2 linked regions of the Oryctolagus cuniculus genome follow. The protein of the gene in region 2 binds, or shares a complex with, the protein of the main gene of each other region. Links are inferred from orthologs where the notes say so. Each region holds a gene or a part of one and is shown on either strand. Other genes may lie near its edges. The genes, in order: GTSE1 and CLTC.

Region 1 (3,803 bases), on a different chromosome or scaffold from region 2:
GTCCTGCCTGCCGCTGCGTTTGGCTGTCGCTGATAACTAAGAGCCGGCACCCAGCTGACTGTTATTTGCTGGAGACTGGATGTTTGTGTCCCCCACATTCCTATGCTGAAGCCCCACCCCCTGAGGTGATGATGTTAGCAGACAGCCTTTGGGTGATTAGGTCATAGGGGCAGGGCCCTCACCATAGACTCAGTGCCCAACAAAAGATGTCGGAGGGATTCTGACCCTTCCACCACGCAGACACGAGGAGGCACCACGTATGCCACAGGAAGCCCTGACCAGCCACCGAGGCTGCCGCTCAGCCGCCACAGCTGTGAGAGATAAATGTCTGCTGCTTTAGCCGGGACGTGGTGTTTTTGTTACGGAAGCTCAGGACTGAAACCCTGCCTTAGACGAGTCGAGGATGTACTCTCAGCATGGAGCCCGCGGGTGACGTACAGGTGACGAGTCTGTCACTCGAGAAGGGCAAGTTTTCCATTCTTCCCACGAGTCTGAACAGACAGTAACTCACGTAACTGACAGACAGCAGGGGCAGTTACCCTCCACCCCACCCCCGCCTTTGCTGCGGCTGATCTGGATCACTGTCCCCTTCCTCACCGTGAGTGCTGGCAGCGCCACACAAACCCCAGTGACAACAAATAAAAGCACAGGTTGAGGAGCCTTTATCAACTCTTTGGGACTAGAAATGCTCCAGTTTCCAGAGTTTTGGGGGCTAGGGAATATCTGCACATACAAATGGGACCCATGTATAAACATGGAGTTCATTTAAGTTTCATGCATACCTTACCCACAGCCTGAAAGTCATTTTCTATACTATTTTTAGTTTGCCTGCACTTTGACCGTGACCTGTCCTGTGAGGTCAGCTGTGCAATGTTCTGGTTTGGTATCACATCGGCACTCACAAAGTTTCAGACTGTGGAGCATGTTGGATAATCCTCAAAGTAGGCCTGGGAGGCAGGAGCTAACTTCCCTTTCCACAGGCGAGAAAGTGAGGTGCGGGCACGTGAGGCATAAGGGGCTGTCTAGCTTGGGTTCATGCCTTCAGCTGCAGTGTGGCTGCTGCTATAAAGCACTCATCTGGCCTCACCCCATGAAGTGCACCCCAGCAGAGGAAATTAAAACCCGGAAGATTTGCAGACGGCTCACGCAGTGCACGGCGGAACCAGAGGTTCAACTCTCTGGCGTCTTAGACCAGTGATTATCCTGCCAATCCCATCCCTGCATAGTCCGCAGCAGAGTCCCGCCCCGGCCATGTGACTCCAGCGGGCATGAGTGTCCTTCCTTCGCCTCCACCCCCAGCTCCACACAGGATACTTTAAGGCTAAGACTGTGGGTGTGAGGTTTCCTGTGCCACTCCGTCTTTAGCAGGGACAGTCAGGGGAAGGGTCGGCCATGTGTGCATCTTCTTACGACCTGTACTATCTGTCTGACTCTGCTTGGGATCACCCACTGAAACAATGTCAGAAATGCTCAGTAACTTGCACTGACCACAGACCAGGAGATGTGGGTTCACACCTAAGTCTGCAAAGCTGCCCATGCCAGGAATCTTCGCCTGAGGCACAGGGTAGGTTCTTCTGGAAGCATTTACAAGATCCAGTCCCCGGGCTCCACACAAGTCCAGCTGAATGAGGTGGCCAGGAGGGGCCCGGCACAGGCAGCTTTAACAGTGCCGAAGGAGCTGCGATACACCATGCAGACGACTCAGGGTGGCTGAGGTCTACAGTGGGAGCTCAGTCCGCACCCAAAGGCTACTGCTAAGGTCAGGCCACAGGCCAGGGAGCAGTGAGCAGACCCAAGGAGGCCCTTTCAGGAGTCAGCAGGCACCTTAGGAGTTATCACAGTAACATGAGAAGGAAGCAGACCAACGGCAGTTACCTTCCAGCCGACACACAGGACTGCGGCCTTTGCGTCCGAGAGAACTTTGGTGTTGTACCATCCGGGGAACCACCTAAGACCGAGAGAGGAAGCGAGTGTGTCAGCCACAAGTGGGTCATGGGGCACTCCACTGTCTGGGGACTCACCAAGTGGGTAATTCTCCTTGAAATGGCTCCCCGTGCCCAACCTGCAGGGCAGATGGCACCACAGAGTACAGACCCCGGGCAGGAGGTCACGTGGGGAGAACCTGCCAGCAGCAGGAGTGTCAGCACGCATGCCCTACACAGGGAGTCCAGACACGGCAAGGCTGGCCTCTCAGTGATGGACACAGGGAAGAGTCGACAGGAAGCAACACAACTCCCATGGAGAGTCCCTTCCAGCGGAGCCTGTCTGTCACTCAGTTCCCACACTCCCGGGCGCCCAACGTCAGAAACAACACTGTAATGTGGCTGGATTCCCAGGCGAGCCCGAGTGTCCACAAAGACCTTAATCTTCCTTCTGTGACACTGCCAGGACAGGAGTACACTACACTGCGCACGTGCTGTTTCATGGCTGCCAAAGCACCTCAGGGTGCATGGCCCCATGTGACACTCACAAGGTGCAGAGAGGCAGGCTCAGAGGGCACGGGCTCACCAGTCACTGAGCCAAGACCTGCAGTGGGCTCCAGACGTCCAGTGTCCCCACCATGCCCTCTACAGCACAGCGCCACGTGAACCAGTTCACAATTGAGCACATCCCAAATAGCACGAAAGTCAGCCATAAGCACCATGGGCCAGGCCCCCAGTGCAACATCTTACAAAGTCAAACACACCCTGTGGAGCCCCCTGACCTCAGCTACACAGGGCCCCCTCCTCAGTAGGTGCTTCAAGGAGTCCAGCCCACTGCCCTGCAGCTGTCCCCTCTGCCCCAAAACCGCTGCACTTCTGGACCCCTCCTATATCAACCTGAAGATCAAAAGAGGTCAAGAAACCCCAAGCAGGATAAACACAAAGAAAATCTCCATCCAAATAATAACAGGAGCTGGGTTGTGGTGCAGCAAGTTAAACAACTTGGGATGCCTGCATCCCATACTGGAGTGCTGGTTCAAGTCTCAGCTACTCCGCTTCCAATCCAACTTCCTGCTAATGTGCCTTGGAAGCAGGGGACGACAGCCCAAATGATTGGGTTCCTGCCACCCATGTGAGAGACCCGGATGGAGTTCTGGCTCCTGGCTGTTATAGAAATCTGGGGAGTAAACCAGTGGATGGAAGATCTCTCTCTCTGCCTTTCAAGTAGTTGAAAATAAGTAAACATTTTTTTAAAAGTATACAATAAAGAATTCACTGGAAATGATGATGAAATAAAACCCTTCCTGCAGCCACAGAGTAGGCACATGTCACTTGAGGACTGAACCCCGACACTTCTTGTCCAGCACAATGGGAGAACACAGAAGGCCAAGACACAACCCACCCATGTTGCGGTCCACAAAGCTTTAAATGAAATTTCAATATTTAAAAAATGCATTAAAATTTCTCTATTACTTACCAATAGAAGACTTAGGAATTTTAAATGGATTTGTAGGAGTAGGCATAACCTTTGTTGCAGAATTTAGATGGGAATCTCGCCTTCTTATACTTCCAGTTTTATTCAGTTGAGATGATTCCGACAGAATAGAATTAGAGTCCAGCCTCGGGTCTCTACCTCCTGGGGTCTGGGGCTGGGTGGCAGCAGCTGTGGTGGGCACTGTGGGTTGCTCCGTGGTGCACTCAGCAATGTCGGTACCTGCTGCTGGCAGAGACTGGTGCGGTGCCTTGGGGCCTGTTCTGCCCAACTTGCCAGTGTTTGACAGAGGCAAGGAGCTGTGGGCAGGAACGCTTGTAAATTCCCTTCGTTTAGCTGGAAAAGGAGACACACACCGTCTGGTCACCACTCAAGCTTACGTTACTCTT
Region 2 (4,514 bases):
GGAGGATGGCCCAAGTGCTTGGGCCCTGCACCCGCATGGGAGACCAGGAGAAGCTCCTGGCTTTGGATCAGCACAACACGCAGGTTGCAGCACGCCAGTCGCAGCGGCCACTGTGGGGTGAACCAACGGCAAAAAGGAAGACCTTTCTCTCTGTCTCTCTCACTGTCCACTCTGCCTGTCAAAAAGAAAAAAAAAAAACCGGCTTCTGACAACTTTGGCATTTGTGGCCATTTGGGGTGTGAACCAGCGGATGAAAGCTCTCTCTGAAAATCTGCCTTTCAAATAAAAAATCAAAAAATAGCCCTTATTTTAAAAAGGGAAGGAATAAAAATATGAAGAGCTATATTATTAAAATTTAGTAATTTGAACTCTGTGCAATTAATCACTATCAACTGGAGTCTACAGTCATATTAGCTAAGCTTAAGTTTGAGCATGATACAGAACTCCAAAAAAATGAGTAATAGAATTTTTCAATTATACTTCTTAAGCTGCTTTGTACTTAAAATCTTCAAATTATTAAGAAAATGGCTTCACTCAAGTATTAACAGAACCTCAAAACCACACCTGTATCAAATCTGTCTTCAATCAATGACACAGTTGGATTCAATTTTGAGGATCACTCAACAATCCTCTCCTCTTTAATGGAAATGAAAAGTGATTACTCAAACCACCACTGGTCAGCAAGATTTACCAGTGGGCTATAGCTGTGCCATGTAAAATAAACAGCAGCCACACCAGCTTCTCTTGGGTTATCATTACAAACATTTGTCTGCAGAAAGATATTTCAGATGTACTTTAGTGCGAGGAAGAGCCTGGGTTTCCCCTTCTCATGCAAGAACAGTACTTTCCTAATCCTCCACACTCATTTACCACCCCTTTTTTAACAGAGGTAATCACAGTAATTAAACTTGGATGGAGCACAAAAAATAACTTTTTCCAAGCCCGTTCTGTCACACCTAACATGTGTTAACCTTTCATAAAACTGTTTTTATAGCCAAGGTATATTCCATTACTTTACATGAGTTTTGGGTGACTGAACAAAGCTGTACTACTTAACTTACTTAATGGGTTAAAGATTTAGCATTCTTTACATTTCAAACCTTAAAGGAAAATAATGTCTTGCTAGTGCAAGCAAATGTGATGCCTGTAAAGAAATATGTAATTATTTTACTCGTAGCCTGAATATTAACTGTTCTATTGACAAGACTCTTTCTTTTGTTACACCAATGGGGGAAAGTACATAAAACTTCCTTGCGTGGAAAAGTATCCCATAGGTTACCAGAACCAGTCTCATTTTAAACCACTGCATCCTCGGATTAGGAAGTGAGTCCTGCCGTAGATGGCCCTGGGGCAGGCTTCTTTAAGGGGACATACGGGAAGAAACCAAGTTAATTTATTATTCCTGATGAGAATCCAGGATTGGTGAACCAGGGACATCAGAAGCTCAAAAAGAGGCCTAATTCAGCGAAGCCCTTCAATGATCACCTGCCTAGGCTAGCCATTGGCAAGCTGCCCAAAGAGACAACCGTAAGAATGTTGCCTCCAGGGTAAGGCACTTACGGAAGAACTCTAGAATCTACCAAGAAGAAACGAGTTACAGACCAACTCAGGGCAGGTGTGTCCTTAACCCCGGGCCTCTGTTCCATTCCATGCGATCCTGTCGGAGGCACTCAAGCCACACATTTCACAACCACCGGATGGACTCCTGAGGACCCCCCCCCCCCCAGATAACCTCTAGGTAACACTTTGCTACGTTCTGAACTCAAAAGGATTTAAGAGCCACACCACCCCCAAAGAAATCAAGAAAGGAAAACCAAGCGAGTTCCCCAGGGACCTTGACCCCACGCACTCTAAGACTGACCGCGCCCTGAAAACTGCGTCCCCCCATTCTATTCCTTCAGTGACCTTCTGTTCCTACTGCCTCGGGGAAGGCAAGGGACAAGCCACGGCCGCCACCCCCACCCCCCGCCCCCGGAAAGGTGCCTTTCTCAGTTGAGAGCCGCAGAGGGAGGAAGAAAAAAAGGTTGCTCCTCCCCAACTCACCCGCCCCGCAACTCCCGGGTGCAGACACGATGGGGGGAAAGGGAAGAGATGGGCAGTGGAGGGTGACAGCCCTGCACTGGCCCAGGGGATGATGAGAATGCTTGCTCCGGCCGGAAGAAACTCGGGAGAATTCCCCTCTCCCACTCCCCTATCCAAATGAATGAACTGAATAAAACGGGAAGGGGAGGGGGGATAACACGCGCAGTTCTTGCCTTCCAGGAAGCAAGACAGAAAGGCCCTCAGAGTCAGGCCTGGCTTGCCGGCCTTTACACCCCAACTCTCGTCCTTTCCACCCAAGCCCCATATCCTTTAACCCTTTAAGCTTTCCAAGATAGCGCCCCTTCCTCCACCTACGCCAAACACCGACACCCCTCCCTTCCTGCTCCGGCCCAGACCGTAGCTTCTTCCTTCCTACCACCGTCACCACAGCCCGCAGCAGCCCAGATCTAGCCGCACCTGGAGATGCTCCTGAAAACGAATTGGAAGAATCTGGGCCATGGCGCTGTCGGGGGGTAGAGTCTCCTCCTGTCACTGGGGCTTCGGGGCAGTGGCTGCCCGGGCTCTCCGAAGGGAGAGGAGGAGAAGGGGAGGGGGGAGGCTGGGCTCGGCAGGATACTCTCCGGGGACGCAGGAAACTGGCAGGCAGACGAGAGAGCTCGGGTCGGGGGCGGAGGCTCCAGGGGCCAGGAGAGCCGCAATGGCGGAACCGGGCGCAGCGCAGACTCCGGAAACGGCTGAGCCCTGCGGAAGGATCCCGGCGACAAAACTCCGCCCCGTCGCCTCACCCCCCCTCCGCCTTATGTACCCCTCCACGGAGCGCCGCGCCGCGGCCAGGCGCAGGGATTCGGGGCGCAGTGCGCTGGGGGCCTCGCTTCCTGATGCGACACCGGGGAAATAGAGGAACAGCAGGGACTACTTTTCTAGACTCATCACTTTCTCCAGGCTTCTGCTTTTCCCTCCCCCCCTTCCTTTTTTTTTTTTTTTGCATTTTGCCACATCATGCGACTCGGGGCGACCTACGTCATTTCCGTAGGCGCTTTGGGTCCCACCCACGTACTTCCAGGTGCACGTGATGCTGGTAGGGAAGGGTCGGCTGACGCTGCCAGAATGGGGCGCAAGTTCTAGGAGAATGCGGCGTCTCCTGGGAGTGAGGTGCCCGTTGGGCCACCTTGAGGCGCGGCGGCTGCCGTTTCTTTGCCCCTGCGTCCCCTGTTTGGACCGCGTCCCTGGCGGAGAGGACGTGGCGTGGGCACACGGGACCAGCCGCCCGCCCGCCCGGTGACTCGGCGAAACGGCGCCGCCGCTGCGCTCGCCGGCAGCTGGCTGCAGCCCGCCTCCCCCGCCCGCCTTGAGGCGGTGGGCGGCTGCTCCCCGCCCGGGGAGGGGGCGCAGAGGCCGCGTCGGAAGCCCTCGCCGCCCTTGCGCGCTGCCTGCTGACGGGGGGCGACCCCGAGGCGCGCACTCCTGACTGGAAGCGGCGCTCGCGTCAGGTGTTCCTTAGGCCCAAGGACAGTGAGGGCCGAGTGTGAGATGCCTCAGGCTCGCCTGTTCTCGCCACTTCTGCGGACATTTTGGCGGACTCGGATCGGCCTAGCTTACTACTCCGTGTATGTGGTGCTAGAGAATTTGCGTTCTCATACATAACCCTGAAGGGTTCGAGCAGAACTGGAGCAGGACATTGTAGCCACGGCAAATACTTCGTCTCAAAGATTTAGCTAATTCCGCCCCGAGTGGTCGGTAAAACCTGAAGGTCCTCCCCGGAGGACGAGGATTAAGTGTTAGCCGCGTCTCTCGGAGCGATCGCCTCGCCCTTGCCTGGCAGGTTAGCAGAGGGGGACAGGAGCGCTTGGAAGCCCGAGCACCGTGTCTTCTGACAGCTTTAAGGTATCTGCGGCATTCATTATCGACTGACAACCGAAGTCTAAGCTGCAACAGTTCAGCCCCAGTACAATAAAGAAGAGTTTAGTCCCGTGCTTTCCATCTTTAAAGAGATGCGATTTTTCCCCCCTCAGAAAGACCTTGAGAAAAATACTCAAGTCCACGATAATTATTTGTTGTGCCCTTTTCGATTAAGGAACACACAGCCCTATCGGGTGCGGAATTTTTTGTGTGTGAAGCAGTTTTTGCCTAGAGTGAGAAATGTGCTTAATCATTTCAGTTGCTTTCGTGCTTTTCCCAAAATACTGCCTCCCATGCTGAGGCTAGAATCTGGCAGGTAACAGGGCAGCCAGAAATCGTTCTGCAAAGAATAAGCCTTTGCCACCATGTTGTAAGAGGGGCTTCCTATGCTTGAAAATTTTCCTCTTGTATTAAGCCAGATACTTGATTCTGCAGCATTTGAATAGCAGTCTCATTGTAGCTGCTTCAAACCCTTTTTGGAAAGAGACAAATTCTAAAAAATTCTAAAGGAGTTATTGTTTTATTACAGTACTGCAGATGCTTAATCAGGTTACATTTTCAATCTCAGTCTG

What was found.
Region 1: the proteins of CLTC (region 2) and GTSE1 are in contact, whole or in part, in a crystal structure (PDB 6QNP), measured with the Homo sapiens proteins. The link is inferred for Oryctolagus cuniculus from reciprocal best matches to the Homo sapiens genes CLTC and GTSE1. Residues at the interface, in NP_004850.1 of Homo sapiens: Val50, Arg64, Pro65, Ile66, Ser67, Ala68, Leu82, Lys83, Ala84, Thr87, Gln89, Phe91, Asn92, Ile93, Lys96, Ser97, Lys98, Asp143, Arg144, His145, Trp164, Gln182, Leu183, Tyr184, Ser185, Arg188, Lys189, Val190, Ser191, Gln192; in NP_057510.5 of Homo sapiens: Ser686, Arg687, Pro688, Leu689, Ile690, Asp691, Leu692, Met693, Ser707, Pro708, Val709, Val710, Gly711, Gln712, Leu713, Ile714, Asp715, Leu716, Ser718.

What each region holds. Positions count from the first base shown.
Region 1 is NC_091442.1:120,893,600-120,897,402, reverse strand, and holds part of GTSE1 (G2 and S phase-expressed protein 1), read right to left. Parts: intron 3,751-3,803; coding exon 3,400-3,750; intron 1,949-3,399; coding exon 1,876-1,948; intron 1-1,875. UniProt on the Homo sapiens protein: May be involved in p53-induced cell cycle arrest in G2/M phase by interfering with microtubule rearrangements that are required to enter mitosis. Overexpression delays G2/M phase progression.
Region 2 is NC_091448.1:34,909,963-34,914,476, reverse strand, and holds the start of CLTC (clathrin heavy chain 1), read right to left. Parts: upstream 3,014-4,514; 5' UTR 2,542-3,013; coding exon 2,500-2,541; intron 1-2,499. UniProt on the Homo sapiens protein: Clathrin is the major protein of the polyhedral coat of coated pits and vesicles. Two different adapter protein complexes link the clathrin lattice either to the plasma membrane or to the trans-Golgi network.